7 linked regions of the Kluyveromyces lactis genome follow. The protein of the gene in region 3 interacts with the protein of the main gene of each other region in a pairwise test. Links are inferred from orthologs where the notes say so. Each region holds a gene or a part of one and is shown on either strand. Other genes may lie near its edges.

Evidence for each region.
Region 1: the proteins of SRP1 (region 3) and CDD1 interact in a two-hybrid assay, tested with the Saccharomyces cerevisiae proteins (2 studies listed by BioGRID). The link is inferred for Kluyveromyces lactis from reciprocal best matches to the Saccharomyces cerevisiae genes SRP1 and CDD1.
Region 2: the proteins of SRP1 (region 3) and CBC2 interact in binary tests that used the Saccharomyces cerevisiae proteins (3 or more experiments, as listed by UniProt). The link is inferred for Kluyveromyces lactis from reciprocal best matches to the Saccharomyces cerevisiae genes SRP1 and CBC2.
Region 4: the proteins of SRP1 (region 3) and THI4 interact in a two-hybrid assay, tested with the Saccharomyces cerevisiae proteins (2 studies listed by BioGRID). The link is inferred for Kluyveromyces lactis from reciprocal best matches to the Saccharomyces cerevisiae genes SRP1 and THI4.
Region 5: the proteins of SRP1 (region 3) and FOL2 interact in a two-hybrid assay, tested with the Saccharomyces cerevisiae proteins (2 studies listed by BioGRID). The link is inferred for Kluyveromyces lactis from reciprocal best matches to the Saccharomyces cerevisiae genes SRP1 and FOL2.
Region 6: the proteins of SRP1 (region 3) and FBP1 interact in a two-hybrid assay, tested with the Saccharomyces cerevisiae proteins (2 studies listed by BioGRID). The link is inferred for Kluyveromyces lactis from reciprocal best matches to the Saccharomyces cerevisiae genes SRP1 and FBP1.
Region 7: the proteins of SRP1 (region 3) and KLLA0_F19360g interact in a two-hybrid assay, tested with the Saccharomyces cerevisiae proteins (2 studies listed by BioGRID). The link is inferred for Kluyveromyces lactis from reciprocal best matches to the Saccharomyces cerevisiae genes SRP1 and YPL088W.

The regions. Positions count from the first base shown.
Region 1 is NC_006040.1:1,552,616-1,554,928, forward strand, and holds CDD1 (cytidine deaminase), read left to right. Parts: upstream 1-1,369; coding exon 1,370-1,813; downstream 1,814-2,313. Other genes in the region: SND1 (Snd1p), read right to left, coding at 1-417. UniProt on the Saccharomyces cerevisiae protein: This enzyme scavenges exogenous and endogenous cytidine and 2'-deoxycytidine for UMP synthesis.
Region 2 is NC_006038.1:914,012-916,297, reverse strand, and holds CBC2 (nuclear cap-binding protein subunit CBC2), read left to right. Parts: upstream 1-1,189; coding exon 1,190-1,786; downstream 1,787-2,286. Other genes in the region: KLLA0_B10450g (homeobox domain-containing protein), read right to left, coding at 2,252-2,286.
Region 3 is NC_006040.1:729,689-733,120, forward strand, and holds SRP1 (karyopherin alpha), read right to left. Parts: upstream 2,118-3,432; coding exon 501-2,117; downstream 1-500. Other genes in the region: KAR1 (Kar1p), read right to left, coding at 1-12. UniProt on the Saccharomyces cerevisiae protein: Functions in nuclear protein import as an adapter protein for importin beta nuclear receptors. Binds specifically and directly to substrates containing either a simple or bipartite NLS motif. Promotes docking of import substrates to the nuclear envelope.
Region 4 is NC_006037.1:13,737-16,691, reverse strand, and holds THI4 (thiamine thiazole synthase), read left to right. Parts: upstream 1-1,480; coding exon 1,481-2,455; downstream 2,456-2,955.
Region 5 is NC_006037.1:853,663-856,205, reverse strand, and holds FOL2 (GTP cyclohydrolase I), read left to right. Parts: upstream 1-1,305; coding exon 1,306-2,043; downstream 2,044-2,543. Other genes in the region: KLLA0_A09757g (uncharacterized protein), read left to right, coding at 207-800. UniProt on the Saccharomyces cerevisiae protein: GTP cyclohydrolase 1 is the first enzyme in the biosynthetic pathway leading to folic acid.
Region 6 is NC_006041.1:124,962-127,847, forward strand, and holds FBP1 (fructose 1,6-bisphosphate 1-phosphatase), read left to right. Parts: upstream 1-1,318; coding exon 1,319-2,386; downstream 2,387-2,886. Other genes in the region: PBP4 (Pbp4p), read right to left, coding at 1-266; 1-acylglycerol-3-phosphate O-acyltransferase SLC1, read right to left, coding at 2,583-2,886.
Region 7 is NC_006042.1:1,791,339-1,794,312, forward strand, and holds KLLA0_F19360g (aldo-keto reductase superfamily protein), read left to right. Parts: upstream 1-1,439; coding exon 1,440-2,474; downstream 2,475-2,974. Other genes in the region: SUL2 (sulfate permease), read left to right, coding at 1-873. UniProt on the Saccharomyces cerevisiae protein: Putative aryl-alcohol dehydrogenase.

The sequences.
Region 1 (2,313 bases), about 820 kb from region 3:
AGTTTCTTTTAGTTCCGTCCAAACAGTCTCTATCAAAAACTTGACTGTCTCTACGTATCTCAATGAGCCACTAGAAGAAATTTCCAAATGGAAATCAAAATCGCCTGCGAGTTGTCTTGAAAGTGTCCAAAGTTCATCATTTTCACCTATTATACTCTTCAAAATTTTATCTCTCAGCCTATGCAACTTAAACTTTTTGTTTATTCGAGAGAGCCTGTTATCCTTAAGCTCATCATTATAATAATCAATCGTTGGGATATCGATGTAAAGATATACGTTAAAGTTGCTCATGATCGGCGTCAACCGATCACAATATGAGATGAGATACAAAGAATCGACATTCTGTACTCGAACCTTTGAAGGTTCATGAACCTGCTGGTTCCATAACCGTGATGTTATATTAGTGGAGGAATCCATTTATTATAGTAATCCGTTGGAGATGTATTTGCATAAAATCAAGGATGCCTCAATAATCGGATTATGAATGGGTGTAGTTGAATCATAAGAAGAGAAAGACGCAGACTTACAGGATCTGATTTGCAGCTCAGAACCAGTAGAATAAAAGCAATAGTGATATGTAACAAATTCTCAAACTAGGAAACCTAATCTGCTTATTAATTTTGACCTTTAACCAGCGATAATTGAAGTTGCACCAGTAAATGAGTCAAATCAAACCAAACAAAAAAGTATACTAATTCGAAGACAACGTGAATAAGAAAACAAGGAAACCACAAGGTCCTTCAGCAAAGTTAGCAGCGATAAAGGTACTCTCCTTTGCGTTAAAATAGGAAAAAAAAAATAATGCAGTGGTGTCAAGTAAGGCGAAATCAGCTTCTCGTTCTCCTCTTTCCACAACTGCTGTTTTATGTTCAAGCTTTCACCTTTTCTCGTTCCTGACTTATACCTAGTTTCAGTTTTTTTTTTCTTTCTTCTTTCTTTCTTCTTCCGCTTTAGTTTGAGCGCTGACACTTCAGGTCACGTGACGAGAATTTTTGGACCCTCGTACATGTTTAGCATGACACAAAACGTGATAGGACTTAAGGAAGAGCATCGTACTATACCCCTGCGAGCATCTAATATGGCGGGAAAACTGTATCAGTAGACAAACGGGAACTGTTAGCTTTACTATATTTACATACATATAGTTCATATGTGCTTTGCGATCAACGGTAATTTTTTGTAAGTAAAAGCAGCCAAGACGAAATCAAGCAGATAGTGACATATTTCATTATATAAAATCTCGATATGATAACGATGTATTTCTCACACAAGAAGATATCAGCCATCGTTGTATAAAGAAACCAAGAGGCGAGCGTATAATACACGCTGGACCCAGTTCGCTACTGAATACGCATCATTGCAGTATAAAATGGAGATCAAGAGCAAACTGGACGGTATTGAACCTACACAGGTAGATAGAGCCATTTTAGAGAGTCAAAAAGCAAAAAGTGGTTCCTATAGTCCATATTCAAAATTTAGGGTCGGATGTTGCATACTGACAAAAGATGGTACTTATATCACAGGAAGCAATGTGGAGAATGCTACGTATGGAGCCACCATATGTGCAGAAAGAGCTGCTATCGTGAAAGCTGTCACAAGCTCCCACAGAGCAGATTGGGTTTGTGTCGCTATCAACAGCGATATGAGAGATAATTACATTCCGCCATGTGGAATCTGTCGGCAAACGATCAGAGAGTTTGGAAAAGAAGATCTGCCAATAATAATGACAAACTGCGACACCTCTGTCAAAAAAATTATGACCCTCAATGAACTATTGCCAGAAAGCTTCGGCCCAGATCACTTTCATAGGTGAGCTAAGATTCGACTCTTTTTTGTGCAAGATTTGAACTTTTCCATAGTAAGAAACGAAATCAAAAATCAAGAAAGTTCTATATAGTAATTATTCATTAGCGTTTTGAGAGAAAGTTAAGAAAACATGCCTTTGGAAAACACCTTCTCATAAGCTAGCTACTTAGGATCAGAAGTAACCGCCAGTTAATCAAAATTTTCTAAGCACTATTCTCTCAATCGCCCTAAACCGAGGTTGTTCCTAAGATATTTAGAAATGTGTCATAGATAATGCGGAGTCTTCGCACTGTAGAATTAAAAGAAAAGTATGACATTTAAACTCATCTGACTTTTCAAATAAAATTTTTTGTTTCGACCTTTAATAAAGAACATGAGAACGAGATGCGATGAGAGAAGCTCAGATACAGCTCTTTCTACTCCTCTCTCTCACTTATTTATACCAAACGTATTCCAAGTGATATAGAAGGTGTTTCTGAACTGCACTTACTGACATAGCAGCTGTAA
Region 2 (2,286 bases), on a different chromosome or scaffold from region 3:
CCTTTTCTACAAATTTTCATACATAGTGTATCATGAATCATTGATGAATATTTCATTTCTCTCCTTTTATGGCTTTATTATACTGATAATAGTAATTCCGTTCGTTCGCACCTTTCTCAATCTTGAAATACAATATCATAATACTGTCACAATCACTGATTTCTTTTTCTCATTTTTACTTCCTTTTTACACTAGGCCAATACAATTTTCAACTACTTGTTTTTCGACATACGTTTTCTAATCTTTATAACAATTCAACCATATCTCATCTCATAAATGTCTGAAATACTTTGGTATTCATGTCTATCAGTTTGTTTGTTTTCTTGTCGTCTATACCGTATATGTCATTGTATTACGTATCCAATGTGTGGTAAACAGGTACTGCTGCTAATTCTATCTTGATAGTTTACTGCCTCTACAGTGGTATATATTGTGACGGATTAGTTATCAGTATCATATATCACGGTCCGCTCGTTAATGTCGATCTTCATTATTTTCAGTTGTTGGGTTGTTGGCAAAAGCAAAAAATTTCAAAAATACTCCGATACGGGGAGTCGAACCCCGGTCTCCACGGTGAAAGCGTGATGTGATAGCCGTTACACTATATCGGATAGTAACCATACAAAATAGAAATCAACATTAGTTTTTATTATGGAAACAGTATCACTTGAAACCTTCTCTTCAGATATTGTTAGTATGTAGCTGAATCTCTTGGAAATACTTGTGTAGTCAATTTTAACAATCAGCACCTATTTAACAGGGATCTTATTCTTCTTGGTGGCATGGGGGTGTGTTATGAATTCTAAAATGGTATCTTCCCACATTTCCCTTATGGCTATTGAGAATCATTTCTGTCAAAGTAGAGTGCATAACAATATTTTTCCAGAGAAACCACTGGATAGTCTCAAATTTAATTAATTGAAAGTTACTTATTATTCTTTCTCAGCAGTCAAGAGCTTCGATGCAGTGTCCACCCGATTTGTTTATTTGATTTTTCACAACCTGTCACTGACACAAAGTATTCAGTACTTATAATATGGCTTATATGGAAAAAAAAAAAAAACTTGAAAGATTCATTCAACTTTAAATTTGGGATTGAAATGATTAAGTAAAATCTATAGGTTCATAAGACACCATAGCTCCAGATAAACTCCAAATACCCCAAACTAGCATCAGTCAAGCAAATACCATGTCTCTAGCGGAGTTTGATGAGATTAAGTACGATCACAGTTGTGATAGGTTAGATAAGCCCTCTCGTTATTTGATCCGTAAGGCTAGACGTGACCCAGATTCTGGATTGCAACAGTTGAGAAAATCTATGAAATCCTGTACAGTTTATGTGGGTAATCTATCGTTTTACACAAGTGAAGAGCAAATATATGAGCTATTCTCCAAATGTGGCACCATAAAAAAGATTATCATGGGTCTAGATAGGTTCAAGTTTACGCCGTGTGGATTTTGTTTTATTATATTCGATAAGATGGAAGACGCATTGAATTCTATAAAATACTTGGGTGACACGAAGTTAGATGACCGTCATATAACCATTGACTTGGATCCTGGGTTCGAAGAGGGAAGACAGTTCGGTAGAGGTAAGAATGGTGGTCAAGTTAGTGATGAGATGAGATTCGAATTCGATGCGTCCAGAGGTGGGTTCTACACTCCACTTGAGAATAGAATTGGAACAAATGCCAACTTCGGGGCCAGAAGAGTTAAAAACATTCCAATACAGCAAGAGGATGAAGAATATGAAGAAGATGAAGATGCTTACATTCCAGGCCAATAAAAACAGTACAATCATAAGGTCGTTTATCGATGTGTATATATCACATTTCAATCTAAGTACCTATTTCACTAAGTTAATTGATTTAAAAGAATAATACTGTGGTAAGAAGTATTTTATTTGAATATATAGCTAGTTCATATTAGAGCTAAAGATATCTCGATATAATAAAAAATTTTGCCGCTTTAATCCATCAATAGGAGTTGGGTGAAATGAATGGATGGTAGATAAAAGAGCAGACAAACACTAATAAACTAATAAATGAAAGAAAGTTAAAGCTGTGCCTTATAATGAGCTCGTGACAGCTGGAATTGAAGATTGACCGTAGACAAAACAAAAAAAATTAAGAATATAAAGAATTAGGAGAAAGAAAAGACCACCTTAATATGAAGGGGTAAAATCTTCTTCTCATGCATGCTAAACGATAACCGAAAAAGTGTAGATTTATGATATGCATTACGACAAATGTCACGATGGTTGTCGACGATGAGAAGGTGGGGGCA
Region 3 (3,432 bases):
CATTGAACTCATATTATCGCATCAGCGTAATATTCAACTCCGAGCTTTGAAGTAGCACATATGCATTGGATATTTCCTTTTCGTGTGATTATAGGCGATGTTTCACCGAGGAAATTTCGATTGTGTATTTTTAAAGGTTTACAAAAATCCAAACCTTTAAATGTTGATATTATGCATCGGAACATGTAGAGGTAACACCGAAAGTGATATGCACCTAACTGGTCACCTAATTTCTATGACAGAGAGAAGGTCCATGATACTGTTTTTTGAGCACAGTTTTTACTTTTATCGTGGTTCAAAACTGCAAATAAGACTTGGGCCCTTTAATGACATAGAATTCTGTTTCACAATGAAGGGAGAAGTGTAGATTAATAATACTATAGATAGATTACATTAATGCAAAAATTATATGATATTTAACAGGCGCGTAGTATTCATTTATTGTCTAGAATAAAAAAAGCAAATGTAATTACATGACACACGCACAGCTAGAGTTGGTTTTAATTGAAGTTGAATTGCTGGTTGACATTTGATCCAAATCCAAAAGTGTTACCAGCTGTTTGTGGAGCCATAGATTCATCAACAACATCATCTTCATCACTAAAGTACTTTTCAATGATCTTGAAGGCCTTTTCGTAAATTTTTTCGTTAGCATTAGACTGTAAATTGAAGATCTTTTCCATACCACCAGCTTTCTCAATGAAATCAGCATTTTCGTTCACGGCAATACCTCTGACTTCTCTATCCATTTCACCCATCTTCAAAATATTTTCTATAGCATCTAGTGTAACCTCTATGATTCTGTTATCAGCAATCTCTAATAGATCGCACAATGGTTTTATACAGCCTTGACTGACCAAATATCTGATAATTTCTGGCTTGTGTAACCCACCAGAAGAGGCATTCGAGATGGCCCAACATGCTTCTTTCTTTGTCTTATATTCTGCAGTTTCCAACAATCTGATTAATGGTGGAATTAAGTTAGCATCAATAACGGCTTGAATCTGTTCCGTATTACCAGCGGTTATATTAGAGATGGTCCAACAAGCTTCCTTTCTTATGGATTCCTTTGGAGAAGCCAATAGATTTCTTAGAGCTGCCAAGGCTCCACAGTTGATAACGATCTGAGTTTGCAAATCGTTACCTGTGACAATGTTACCTACAGCTCTTAGAGCAGGGGTTTGCACTAACGTAGATTGGTGGGATAGTAGTTCTACAAGTCTCTTTGGGATTCTAGCATCTACTACCGCTTGGATCGAATTAACCGGGCCATCGGAAAGATATGAGATAGCCCAACAAGCATCGACTAACGTTTCAGTATCCATGGAGTAGATTAGCTTAGACAAAGTTGGCAAAGCTTGAGACACGATAGACCAATCTGGTTGAGGTTTCTTACCACGACACAAGTTAGATAAAGTCCACGTAGCTGTTCTAATCAAGGAAGTCTTGTTCAATTCGAACAAATATAGAATTGGTTGCATGGCACCACATTGCAAAACGTAGTCTCTATAATCGGTGGAATCACCAGCAACGTTACCCAAGGCCCAAATAGCTTGTTCCTTCACTTCAACCGAGTTTGAATATAATAATTGAATGAATAATGGCACAGCACCCGCATCTACGACGACTCTAGTCTGCTCAGAAGTACCAGAAGCAATGTTCGTCAACGCCCAAGCAGCTTCCAATTGCAACATCTCAGGTTGATTTTCGCTCATGAATTGGACCAAGGTTGGCACTACGCCAGTACTGATAACCAAATCGATAGGTGGTCTGTGTTCTCTAGACAAGACTTGTCTAAACTTGACCGTCACAGCCAACTGTTGTTGTAGATCGTTAGAATGGATTTGTTCCAACATAGCAGGCAACTCCTGTTGTAATTGTCTGTAGAAAGAGGAGTCCTGATCGTCATCATCATCATTTTCATCATCAGAATCGTTACCAACAGGCGCATTGAAATTTCTTCTTTTTGCTAATGCCTCATCCCTCTTGACTTTTCTCAACTCGACTTGTTGAACGTCTCTACGACGACGTAATTCATCAGCAGAGAATCTACCCTTATTCTTGAAGTTTGTCCTCCTGTATTCAGGAACAAACTTGCTGGAAGTGTCACCGTCCATCTTTCACTTATAAAATAATAAAACGGATACCTGCTATCTGATCCTTCGTGCTAGCCGCGAACCAAAGAAAATTCAGAGAAGTAAAAAAAAAGATTGTAACTAATTCCTTTCTACCAAACTCACAATCACAATTGATCGTCCCGTCTTTTCAAGTAGATATTTTTGCAAATGGGTTCCAAATCAAACAAAAATAAAGAGAAGTTGGATTTAAAGAAGAAATTATCAGTCGCAAAATCAATCTCTAACAATCACAAATAGCGTTTCCCCTTGAGTAAATGAAAATCTGATTCGTTTCTTTGTATTGCTTGACAGAAAAATATATCGGAAGCCAAGAGCACCGTATTGTTTTATATATGTAACAGTGTAATTGAAGTAGAATGCAAACCAATCTTTTATTCAATCCCATATAATATCCATCTTGATTAAAATCCTTCTTTTTTGGCCATCCAAAAAATTCGAATTTTTTTTTTTGGTTGAAATTTCTTTGCCAGATAGTCGTGATGTACGGAGTTGTCACGTGACATACCAACCTCGTGTAAGAAAACGACAAAGGTTCTAACATCAAAAGACAGGAAAAGATGGGCAGGGTCAATTTGACACACTTTTCAACACATATTAAGAGATGTATATACGTATACATAATATATTTGGGATGGTTGGTAATATAAATATATCACCGGGGATTCCTTGTTTTCGTTCCTCATTCATTCTCATGATACACACACACTAAAGTATACATGAGGGTAAGTTGATGAGAGTAGAAGCGAAAGAATTGTGATACAATCAACTAGCATAAGTTCCTTTTTCTATTTCCCCCTTTAGTAAGCATCAAAAATACATTCACTGGGTATTGGAGATGGATGGAATGATTTGAGGGAGAGAAAAAGGAATGGACAAAACCGCTCAGTTGATGTTTTATTGACATGTTCTCTCTAGCAGCATTTTGAAAATGTCCCTCACAAATAAATGAGTGCTCGAATGAACAGGCGGGAAAGATTCAGAATTCAACGCCAAGAAAGAAACACGGTTCACCTACTGCACTCCATTCCTTTTTGTTATATATATACTCCAAATATCGACGATTATGAATTTTCACAACACACACACTGCTGTACGGTTCATAAACGTCAATTTTTTTTCATTCATGAAATGGAATAATTTTCAAATTAGGACACAGATAGATGAGATTGAGTAGTATATACTGTGTTAATTTAACACAATACACTTACACTCAAAACAAAAAATTTGTTAGCACGCGACACGACACACGACACACATTCACGACACGCAGCAACGACATAGGTAAGGTAGTAGA
Region 4 (2,955 bases), on a different chromosome or scaffold from region 3:
CTGATATGCCTCACTGTTTTAATATTTTTTAGACTTTATTGTTGACGAATGATATTATGGGTATGCGCTGAGGTCAAAAAAACAATGCAATACAATGAACGACATCGTAAAAAAGACCCCTTTGGTAAGTATTCTAAGGAAGAGAACCAACCGCCCAAAGCCGGTGACACTTCACAATCTCTCAAATATTAGAATTTCAAGTCACAGGCTTATGCATTTTAACTGGCAAAGTATTGTCTTCACTTAAATAACCAAAACGTGATTTATTTCTAGTTGGATGTCGAAACAGCCAACCCAAAATGTCTCAAACCGTTGGACACTCTATTGTGAATCAATGCGTGCCTTTCCCACCTAGAGTACCAAAAAATAAAAGTAATTCTTGATTCATAGAAGTTGGCATGTCAGTGCCAATTCTAAGGATAGGATAACCGAATTTGATCTGGTGGATAGTTCCAATCGCCTTTCACGTATCTATGTACTGAAAATGAAGGAAGAAAGGCTACCACATCTTAACACGAAATAAATTCAAACAACTCTTTCAATGGACCGGAAATGTAGATTTCAATTCAGAAATCTTGTACTACTGCGTCATCTATCTTGGGCTACCTGTATCTCTTTCCAACCAAGTTTACTTTTTGCACCCTAAACTGACGTTTTTTCGCCAACGATGAGCTAAAAACCTTCGTTTTCGGTTCATACCTCAAATTGCAAATAATGGCAGCCAATGAGGTCTTCTATCGACAAACGCCAGACCATACACACAGGTATATGTTAATTTACGATGCTCTCGTCAGCAATTATGTCCCTTAAGGAAATTGTGTGGGATGCAGGTAATGTTGGAAAAGAACAAAAAAAAAACTGTCGCCTGTTCTAAGAGTTACTCTGGAAAACAGTATTTTTTTTATATGCAGCGATAGAAAGGGTAGAAATTCAACTAAAGGCCAAGAGTTAATACTCACAAAAAGGACAAAATCTACTGAGCGATCAACTGATGTGTTAAAGAGAACGTTTGGGGGCATTTTTCTTTTGGAAACGAACGATTATCTTTCCCGTTTACTCTCGATTTGGTAATCAGCCAATTTTCATGGAACCTTGGCGGATATCTCTATCACTGTTAACAAGATATTCCTAACTGACGCTTATTCGTATAATAACGGAGTAAGGGTACAGACATTAAGGAAATTAGTTTTAACAGTAAAAAAAAAAAAGGCAAAGTAATATGGTATGGAATGCTAACAGGTTCATGTCCAACCAACGTTGTGGGTGACGATAAGCCTCGTGAAACCACGGTCTTTGTTCGAAGTTTAAGAGGCAGTGAGCATTCTAGTTAGAGAACTAAAATTATAAAAAGGCCCACTCTTTCAACCTTTTCCCTTTTAACCTTCTGGTATTATATTTGTGTTATATCAATGATTCTCGCTGTAGAACAGTAGCAGCTAAATTCAAAGGATACTTTACAAGTAGCAACAACAGAACAAAAATGTCTACCACCCAAACTCAAACTCAAAACAAACTATCAGTCCAATCTCAAAGTGTCGAACACTGTTTGTCTGATGTTGTCAAACAAGACGACTGGTCAGACTTTGCATTTGCTCCAATTAGGGAAGCAACTGTTTCTCGTGCAATGACCTCTCGTTATTTCAAAGATTTGGACAAGTTCGCCGTATCCGATGTTGTTATCATTGGTGCAGGTTCAAGTGGTCTATCTGCTGCATACGTCATTGCTAAGAACAGACCTGACTTGAAAATTGCCATTATTGAAGCCAACGTTGCTCCAGGTGGTGGATGTTGGTTAGGAGGTCAATTGTTCTCTGCCATGATCATGCGTAAACCAGCAGACAAATTCTTGGACGAATTGAACATTCCATATGAAGATGAGGGTCATTACGTTGTTGTTAAACACGCTGCTTTGTTCATGTCTACTGTATTGAGTGAAGTATTGAAGTTCCCTAACGTGAAGATGTTCAATGCTACTGCAGTTGAAGATCTTGTCACCAGACCAGCCGATGATAATTCTCAGCACGTCAACGTCGCTGGTGTTGTTACTAACTGGACTCTAGTCACTCAAAATCACGACACCCAATCTTGTATGGATCCAAACGTCATCGAATTGTCTGGTTACAAGGATAATGGCGAAAGGGATTTATCACAGAAGCATGGTGTTATCTTGTCTTGTTGTGGTCACGATGGTCCATTTGGTGCTTTCACTGTTAAACGTATGGCTTCCATCGATTCCTCTAAGTCCTACGCTGGTATGAAGGGTTTGGACATGAACAGAGCTGAAGACGCTGTTGTTAAGAACGCTGGTGCATACGATAAGGTTGGTTCAGTTTACTTTGCTGGTATGGAAGTTGCTGAACATGCTGGTTTGAATAGAATGGGTCCAACTTTCGGTGCTATGGCTGTTAGTGGTATCAAGGCTGCTGAAGATATCTTGAAGCACTTTGCTGCTTGATTGAATCAAGGGGATTTTTACCTCAATTTTTTACTTAGTGTCTAGTTTTATATAGCTTTTTATCGACACACTTTATGACTGCTAATGGCCTCTGAACATTTCTTCCATGAAATCACAAGGAAATGTTTAATAAATACTTCAGCATACCAATTGGGGAGCTATCAATTTTGCTGTTTCGAAGGGAATTTTTCAGACTTCTAAAGATTTTGTCGCATAATAATCAGCCAGCTACAAGTTTAATGTACCGAGTCACTCCATGGTACCTTCTATGAACAAAAACACAAAAAGCAGACGTTACTATACCGATCAGTTATTAAAAATATATCTTATACAAAGAGGAACGAATGCATAAAACCTTACTAAATAAAGTGCTTTTCATGTCAGTACTTTCCCTCAACAAGCATTTTAGTTCCGGCAGAAATATTTTGTTGAAAACTTCTACTGCATAGTAGACCGTATTGTTAATTAGTGATGAAACGAAAAAGTATCTGAGTGTTGTC
Region 5 (2,543 bases), on a different chromosome or scaffold from region 3:
AGTTTAGGATCGGGATTCGTCCACATTGCAGCCGTCGTGCTATAGGGTTTCCTCATTTTAGGTGCATCTGCCAAATAAATCACGTATATATAAAAGATCAAGATATATAAGGGACATATATTTAGTCAAAGAAAAGTGTATGGAGAACGGGATCGGGATCAGTAAAGAACAGAGATCAGAGAACCAGTCACTTTGAGAATACTTCAATGAAATCAGAATCAGATATACAGCCAGATGAGCATCTTCCGTCGTATGATGAAGTGCTGAGACAAGATACTGCTGCTGCTTCGCAGCAGCAGCAGCAGCTCCCACCAAACCCTCCACCACGTCCAACACAACCACCAGCAAGACCGCCCCGGCCAAGCAATGCCATACCAGCGTACCATCATTCCACTAGTACCTTTTCAAGCAGTACCAGTACCAGTACTGGCAATAAGAAACTACCCTGGACGTACCCTCCAGGATATTATTGTAAAAAATGCGGGAACACTGGCACCAAGATCAAGACTCAACAAAAATGTAAGAAATGTTGGTCGAAATTCTACAAACCCCCACCTGCACAACCACCACGTCCAAGTGCAGGGCCAAGACCTGCGTTCGTATACTCTAATGTCACGATGCCACCACAGAATTTCGTCATAAACTCAGCACCTATCGTTGTGCGTCCCGGTGACAGTCGCATAGGAGGCATGATGTGTAACAATTGCAATGGGACTGGTAGGGTACGATTCTTCTTGGATAAAGAACCGTGTCCCGTATGCTACGGTCTTGGCAGGATTCTTACTGGACCAACCTACTAGTTTGATCATCTGATTCGCCCAAACTCTACACTGTTTAAGTAAAATTGTACATAATTAATTTCTATTCATTTCATGTTTGTCCATTAACAACATTCAATAGCAGGGTACTGGCTGAGGTAGCACATGATAGAGTAACTAGTCATGTCTAATTGCTGCTTCTCATGGTACGGTGTTTCCACAGTTTTACTTTTTTTCCTTGTATGACAAAAAGTGAAAAATTTCGATGAGTTCGAGTTATAGGAAACAAGAGGTATAAAGCGTACCATATGCATTTGTTCCATTGTAAAGTTTTCGATTTTGGGTTGGCTCTTTCAAGCTTTAACTGATTGGATAATTCAGTGAAAGTTTGTCGTTTTGTGTGTTAGTTTGTGCGTACGTGTCTCCTTCTGTCGGCTTCTCTCAACAAGTCCCGTTGTCTGACCAGTATCACATATTTATAGGGTCTTTCTTTTGCATGGATTAGTAACCCATATCAGGTAACCCATACAGCTAGCTATATTCAATAATGGAAAACAAACATATCTCGCACGTCTCTCAGATTGAAAGACGTGCTACTCCTTTGAACATTCGTCCAGCTTCGCCTTATACCTTAAATCCTACTGTGGAAAAAGACGGTTTATCATGGCCTAGTATTGGTGCTCGTGAAAGAGCAGAGGAAACGGATGAAGAAGAACAAAAACGGGTTGGTCGTATTGCAGATGCGGTTAAGACTATTTTGAGTGAGCTCGGTGAGGATACCGAACGTGAGGGTTTACTGGATACCCCTACACGGTACGCTAAAGCGATGTTGTATTTCACTAAAGGCTATCAGGATAATATCATGAACGATGTGATTAAGAATGCTGTGTTCGAGGAAGATCATGACGAGATGGTTATTGTTCGTGACATTGAGATCTTCTCTTTGTGCGAGCATCATTTGGTGCCATTTTTCGGTAAAGTTCATATTGGATACATTCCTAATAAGAAGGTGTTGGGTTTATCGAAATTGGCTCGTTTAGCAGAGATGTACGCTAGACGTTTCCAAGTACAAGAACGTTTAACGAAGCAAATTGCTATGGCTTTGAGTGATATCTTGAAACCTAGAGGTGTCGCTGTGGTCATCGAGGCTACTCATATGTGTATGGTGTCTCGTGGTGTCCAAAAAACTGGTTCTTCCACTGTCACTTCTTGTATGTTGGGATACTTGCGAGAATCACACAAGACAAGAGAAGAATTCTTAAACCTTTTGGGCAGAAGGTACTGATGATTCATCATTAGACCTGGTTTTAAGCTACCTTTAAAAATTTTTTTTTGACTTTGATTATCTACAAGCATAAGAGATACAATACGATACCGGTTTTTTAATTGTTTCAACAGCAAGAGGAATGGAAAGATAATAGAACATCCAATAATAATTACTACTCGCATTATAAGGTACCAGCTTTTCAAGTTATACGCATACTTGTGCAAGGCACAGGCACGAGCAAAACTTTTCCTCATCACACACCTTATAGAGATTCATTTCAATTTTTTTTTTACTCAGTTTACATGCATTCAACTTCATGAAACATCAATTACCAATTTAATTTGTTTCCATCAAGAGCTTTCAACGCTCGTTACACCTTGTTTTATTTCGTACTCTCCTCTTGAACCGGAAAAAATATCTGTAAGATTACTGCCAGCCCAGTATTGCTTCAACTTCTATATTTAATTCTAATTTTAACGCCTATATGTATAAAGATAATAATATTGAGATTGTTATAC
Region 6 (2,886 bases), on a different chromosome or scaffold from region 3:
TCGTGGTTGAACGGTGGTTTAGAATGAACATATGATGCTTGGTTCGTTTGGGAATTCTGCCCATTGCTGTTGTTATTTTTTTTCTTGTTACTGCGTGAGTCCTGCGAAGAGATACTACTTCTACTGGTATTTTCACTTGTTACTGGAGTAGGAATGGCTGAAGCAGAAGTGGGAGAAGCGGTCGTATATGCCATACTTTTTTTTTTCAACGCAGAGCTTTCACTTCCCCAAGCACCAAGTTTCTTACTTTGCCAAGCATTAGCCATTGTTAAGCAGTGTATAGGAAAACCGGATGGATAATTCTATTTATTCCCAACGGAAAAGTACGTTACCAGACGGCGAAAGAGAGATCCTATGGAAATACAATCGTGTACACAAGGAACGATTTGATGGAGCTTACTTCCGCTCTACCTTGACGATTGTTACAACTGATCAAAGGAATATGCCGAAATCGCTTCTTCATGTTAGATTTTCTTATTGCAGTAGACCAGAACACGTGACCCGAATTTTTGGACGGATCTCAGTTACTTTTCACGAGATATCCGGGTAATATCACGGTATTTAAATCTACTTGTCAAACACCCATCAACCACACATACATAAATTCTCCCGGTCGCCCCTCTGGTTCCCCCCCACTACCGATACAGCACTGGCAGAAATTGGAAAACCAAAGACGAAAACATGTTCCCGGAGCTCCAATGAACCCACACATCACGATATATGACCCCAGATTCATTTAATTTGAAGATCAATAAAACCTTTTTTTTTATTTTCCCTCTCAGTGTTATGAGCAAAATCACCTTAAATCGCTACAGAAAACACATAATCAAATAGTACTTGCAAATCATGTTCTGTTTCAAGTGACTAGGAAATGCCTTAGCACACTACGTGCCATACTGCGTCCATAGCGAGCTTTTCTCATTCTGTTTTTCTTTTGTTTCCTTCGCGCCAGAAATGGTGCGGTTCTTGCGATTTTTCAAAGCTAGAAGAAATTCAGAGACCAGATAATCGATATCAGACAGAGTAATGAACTGGCTTCGTTGGTTTCTTCGGGGGTAGAATTTTCCGAATTAATCCGTTGCGTTGTCCGCTACTTGCGTATGGATGTAAGTCGTGTATATTGTCTGTTTGATCCTTATTTTAGTGTATATAAATTGGATTCAAACCAGTTTTATGATTTCGATCCTCTTCAGCACTTTATGACTTATTATTGGATTCGAGCATTAGTTTCAAATTAAAGGCATAATCAAGTAGAAAGAAGACTATTCAATTCATTTCCCTTCCGAAGCTTCGCATATCCCGATTAAATAATTAATAAATGGCTGGTATTAAACACAGAAGAGACTCAGCTGAGTCTATCAATACCGACATCATCACGTTGTCCCGTTTTATCTTGGACCAACAGCATCTTTCTGCGAAAAATGCCACTGGGGAGTTTTCTATGCTTTTGAACTCTTTGCAGTTTGCATTTAAATTTATTTCTCAAACAATTAGACGTGCTGAATTGGTTAACTTGATCGGATTGGCTGGTGCTTCAAATAGTACCGGTGACCAGCAAAAGAAGTTGGATGTGTTGGGTGATGAAATCTTCATCAATGCTATGAAAGCGTCTGGTAACGTCAAGGTACTTGTGTCTGAAGAACAAGAAGATTTGATCGTTTTCCGTAACAGCCCTGGTAAATACGCGGTATGTTGTGACCCAATTGATGGTTCGTCTAACTTGGATGCTGGTGTCTCAGTGGGTACCATTGTCTCTCTGTTCAAGATTCATGAGAATCAGAATGGTAACTCTGGGGAAGAAGATAGTGAGGGTACCATCAACGATGTTGCTCGTTGCGGTAGAGAAATGGTTGCTGCTTGTTACACTATGTACGGTGCGTCCACGCATTTGGTTTTAACTACCGGTGCAGGTGTCAATGGGTTCACTTTGGACAATAACTTGGGTGAATTTATCTTGACTTACCCAGAATTGAGACTACCTGAGCAAAAATCTATTTACTCCATCAATGAGGGGAACACCTGCTATTGGGAACCAACTATCGCTGATTTCATTGCCAAGTTGAAGGAAAACAGCGAAGAAAATAACGGTAAGCCTTACTCTGCTCGTTACATCGGTTCAATGGTCGCTGACGTACACAGAACTTTACTATATGGTGGTTTATTCTCTTACCCAGGTGATAAGAAAAATCCTAACGGGAAGTTAAGATTGTTATATGAAGCATTCCCAATGGCTTTCCTTGTTGAACAAGCTGGTGGTAAAGCCGTTAATGATAGAGGTGAACGTATCTTGGATTTGGTCCCTCAACATATTCACGACAAAAGCAGTATCTGGTTAGGTAGCTCTGGAGACGTTGATAAATATTTAAAGCATATCGGTAAGTTGTAAATACGTATACGAACCTCCCATCAACAGAAGAAAATTAAGTAACATAATAATTCATGAAATACCACATTAAAAATAAATTAATAACCGACCTTGAATAACTATTTCACGATTCCAGTATTTACATTTATCATACATTCTCTTGTATTATAGAAAGTACTGTTAAATATAAAAAGTAAGAATCTCTTATTTATATTCTCTAAATAACTTCTTTGAGTAAACTACTACGTTCAGTGGGTTCTGGATTGGTCACAACAGTCCCATTAGAGTGAATAGAAGAACGGTCCAGGTCAACTATTTCCTCTTCGTAATCATCTGCAGTCAAACGATGCTGATCTTCAAAACGTCTGGCAGAGTTATACGCGATCACATCTGCAGGTAAAACGGTATCCACGATGGCTTCGGAGTATCCAATATTTTTCAGCTCGTCGTTCATCAACTTGTGAACACGGTTACATAGATCACCTACGTCTTCTTTCTTCAAATTTTCCGTGCTAATTGGC
Region 7 (2,974 bases), on a different chromosome or scaffold from region 3:
TTGGGTTATGTTGAAATTTGTCAAGTTAGTAACGCTGAAGTTGATGAAAACATCGATCGCATCGTACTCTCTGAAGATTCTCAGCCTAAGACTATCGAAGATAACGTTACCAAAAACAACACTGCGGTAAAAGTTGGAGTCGTAGCGAATGAGTCTTTCGGCCATTCTCAATTACAATATCATACTAAATGGCTACCACTGAATAACCACTATCAGCGTGAATTAAATCCAGATGTTGTAGTACAAGCACCTCCTCCTGGTGTGATTGTATACAGACCAAGTGAATCATGGACATATGTTAACTGTTCTAGACAGTACGATACCATTTTCGACAGAGTAAAAGAACTGACAAGACCAGGAAAGCTTTTGAAACATGTAAGCAAACATGATAAGATGTGGAATGATCCAGGTGAGTGGGAACCTCCATTTTTAGTGAAAAAGCTATTTAAGTTGGGGAACAAACATGATCTTGAAGGTGGCGAAGTAATTGATGAGAGACCTGTTTTGAAGATCCTTGCTATGGACTGGTCCCAAGTGACTCAGATTGATTCCACGGGTGTTCAAAACTTGGTCGACTTAAGAAAGGCCATTAACAAATATGCTAATAGACAGGTAGAATTCCATTTCAGTGGAATCATCTCGCCTTGGATCAAGAGATCTTTAATCAATGCTGGATTCGGTACTGTCAATGAGGAATTCAGCGATGAATCAATCATCGTAGGACATACAAGTTATAGTTTGGTCAAGAATAGACCTGATTTGCAAGATCCAGAAGCGGCGTTACCTGAACCAATAGCACTTCATACCGCTTTAGGTGTAAACTTACCATTCTTCCATTTGGAAATGCCAGAATTTCATAAATGGCACCTATGAAAGGTGTAGCATTACTATTTCGCATACTTCTTCTTCTTCAGTATATATATTCATATATACTTAACTACTTCTAATTTAATTTACTGAGTAATGACGCGGTCAGGCACTACAATAAAATTGACACTATGCCATCAACTACAATATATTGAAATCGCGACGGAAATCACGTGTACATAACTCAAATTGTTTAGTCGATACGACGTTCCCCTTATTTATTCAAAGTCACAGAGAATGAATGTTGAGAATATTTTTATGATCAAGAGCACTCACCTATGGCAACAAAAAGCGGCCGGTTTCACTTCTGACTAATAGAATGCAAAATTCAGACTTTGATCCGTGGGTGTTATCAGTGGATTAGTTACTGGATTAATAATACAAAGAATCGTATAAATGGAAGACGTAGAGATAAACGAAAAAAGGTAAATAAATTCAGTAGAGACACCATCCAACTTCCATTCGGAAGTATATATAGGTAGCATTTCCATAAGTATTGTTTAAGTCCAACATTGAAACCCAATTAAAAAAGGTTCAGCAAATTCGAGAAGCAAAGACTGTAGAACATCAAGATGTCATTGTTGAAGCAAGTAAGATTAGGACGTTCAGGGTTGAAGATCTCACCCATTCTGATTGGTTGTATGAGTTATGGATCTAAAGATTGGGCTGCATGGGTTGAAGATGACAAGGAAAAGATCTTTTCTACTTTGAAATACTGTTACGATCATGGGTTACGTACATTTGACACGGCAGACTTCTACAGCAATGGATTAAGTGAGAAATTGGTCGGTGAATTCTTGAAGAAGTACAACATCCGTAGAGAGACCGTTGTAATCTTGACGAAAGTGTACTTCCCGGTTGATGAAGATCTCGAATTGAGCCACAGCAATGGATTTACGGAAAACGATCTTTTGGATTTGACAAACCAACAAGGTTTGTCTCGGAAGCATATCCTTGCTGGAGTTACTGCAAGTTGTAAAAGGTTGGATACGTGCATTGATGTGTTACAAATTCACAGACTTGATCGTGAGACACCAATGGAGGAAATCATGAGATCATTGAACCATGTCGTTGAATCGGGACAAGTTCGGTACATTGGCGCTTCAACAATGCTAGCTACGGAATTCGTTGAATTGCAATCTATTGCAGAAAGGTACGGCTGGCACAAGTTCATCAGTTCCCAGTCCTGCTACAACTTACTTTACAGGGAAGATGAAAGGGAACTTATTCCATATTTGAAGAGACATGGTGTCGGAATGATCCCATGGTCTCCAAATGCCAGAGGAATTCTTTGCAGGCCAGTAAGCCAACAATCGAATTCTAAACGGTATGAGACCGATGGTAGAATTAAGGGCAGACAATTGGATCAATTACAACCTCAGGAAACAGAAATCGTCAATAGAGTGGAAGACTTGGCCAAGAAGCATGGTGTCAGTATGGCCGTAGTATCATCGGCATGGGTCCTAGCCAAAGGTGGTTATCCCATTGTCGGTCTAAGTTCCATTGACCGTGTGAAAGAAATTATCTCCGCTACCGAATTGAAACTCTCCGAAGAAGAAATACAGTACTTGGAACAACCGTACCTACCAAAACCGCTTATCTTGTAAATCATACGTGGAATACAATAGATAGGGTAAATAAGTACATGAATACATGAATAGAGGTATCACGTAGATCAGGTGTTCACTACGCTGGTATCGGTCATTTTATTTTAGCACCGATAGAAATCTGGAAGTCCCCAGTCACTATAGTGAATACTAAAAGAAAAAAAAAAGAATCATCAGACTCGAGAAAACTGCACGGCTGGTCCTCTGAGCGAATAAGTTCCCAAGAAATGTGCACCAGGGAGTCGGACAACAGTATTGTAAAAATGAAGAGATGCTGCTGAATAGTAGAAGCATCTACCAGCATCTACAAGTGTCTACAAGTGCCTTCAATGTAGAATCTTATGATTATCCTAAGTACATCCGATATACTTTATACTTCCGTTGTAGAAAAGAACAGAGAACCCTGAACAAGGAATCACGGGGGAAACAGGCACAACATACTTGATGGTTCCGTTTCCGAATGAAAGCAACCCCCCATAGGAACCTGATATCCCCACCTC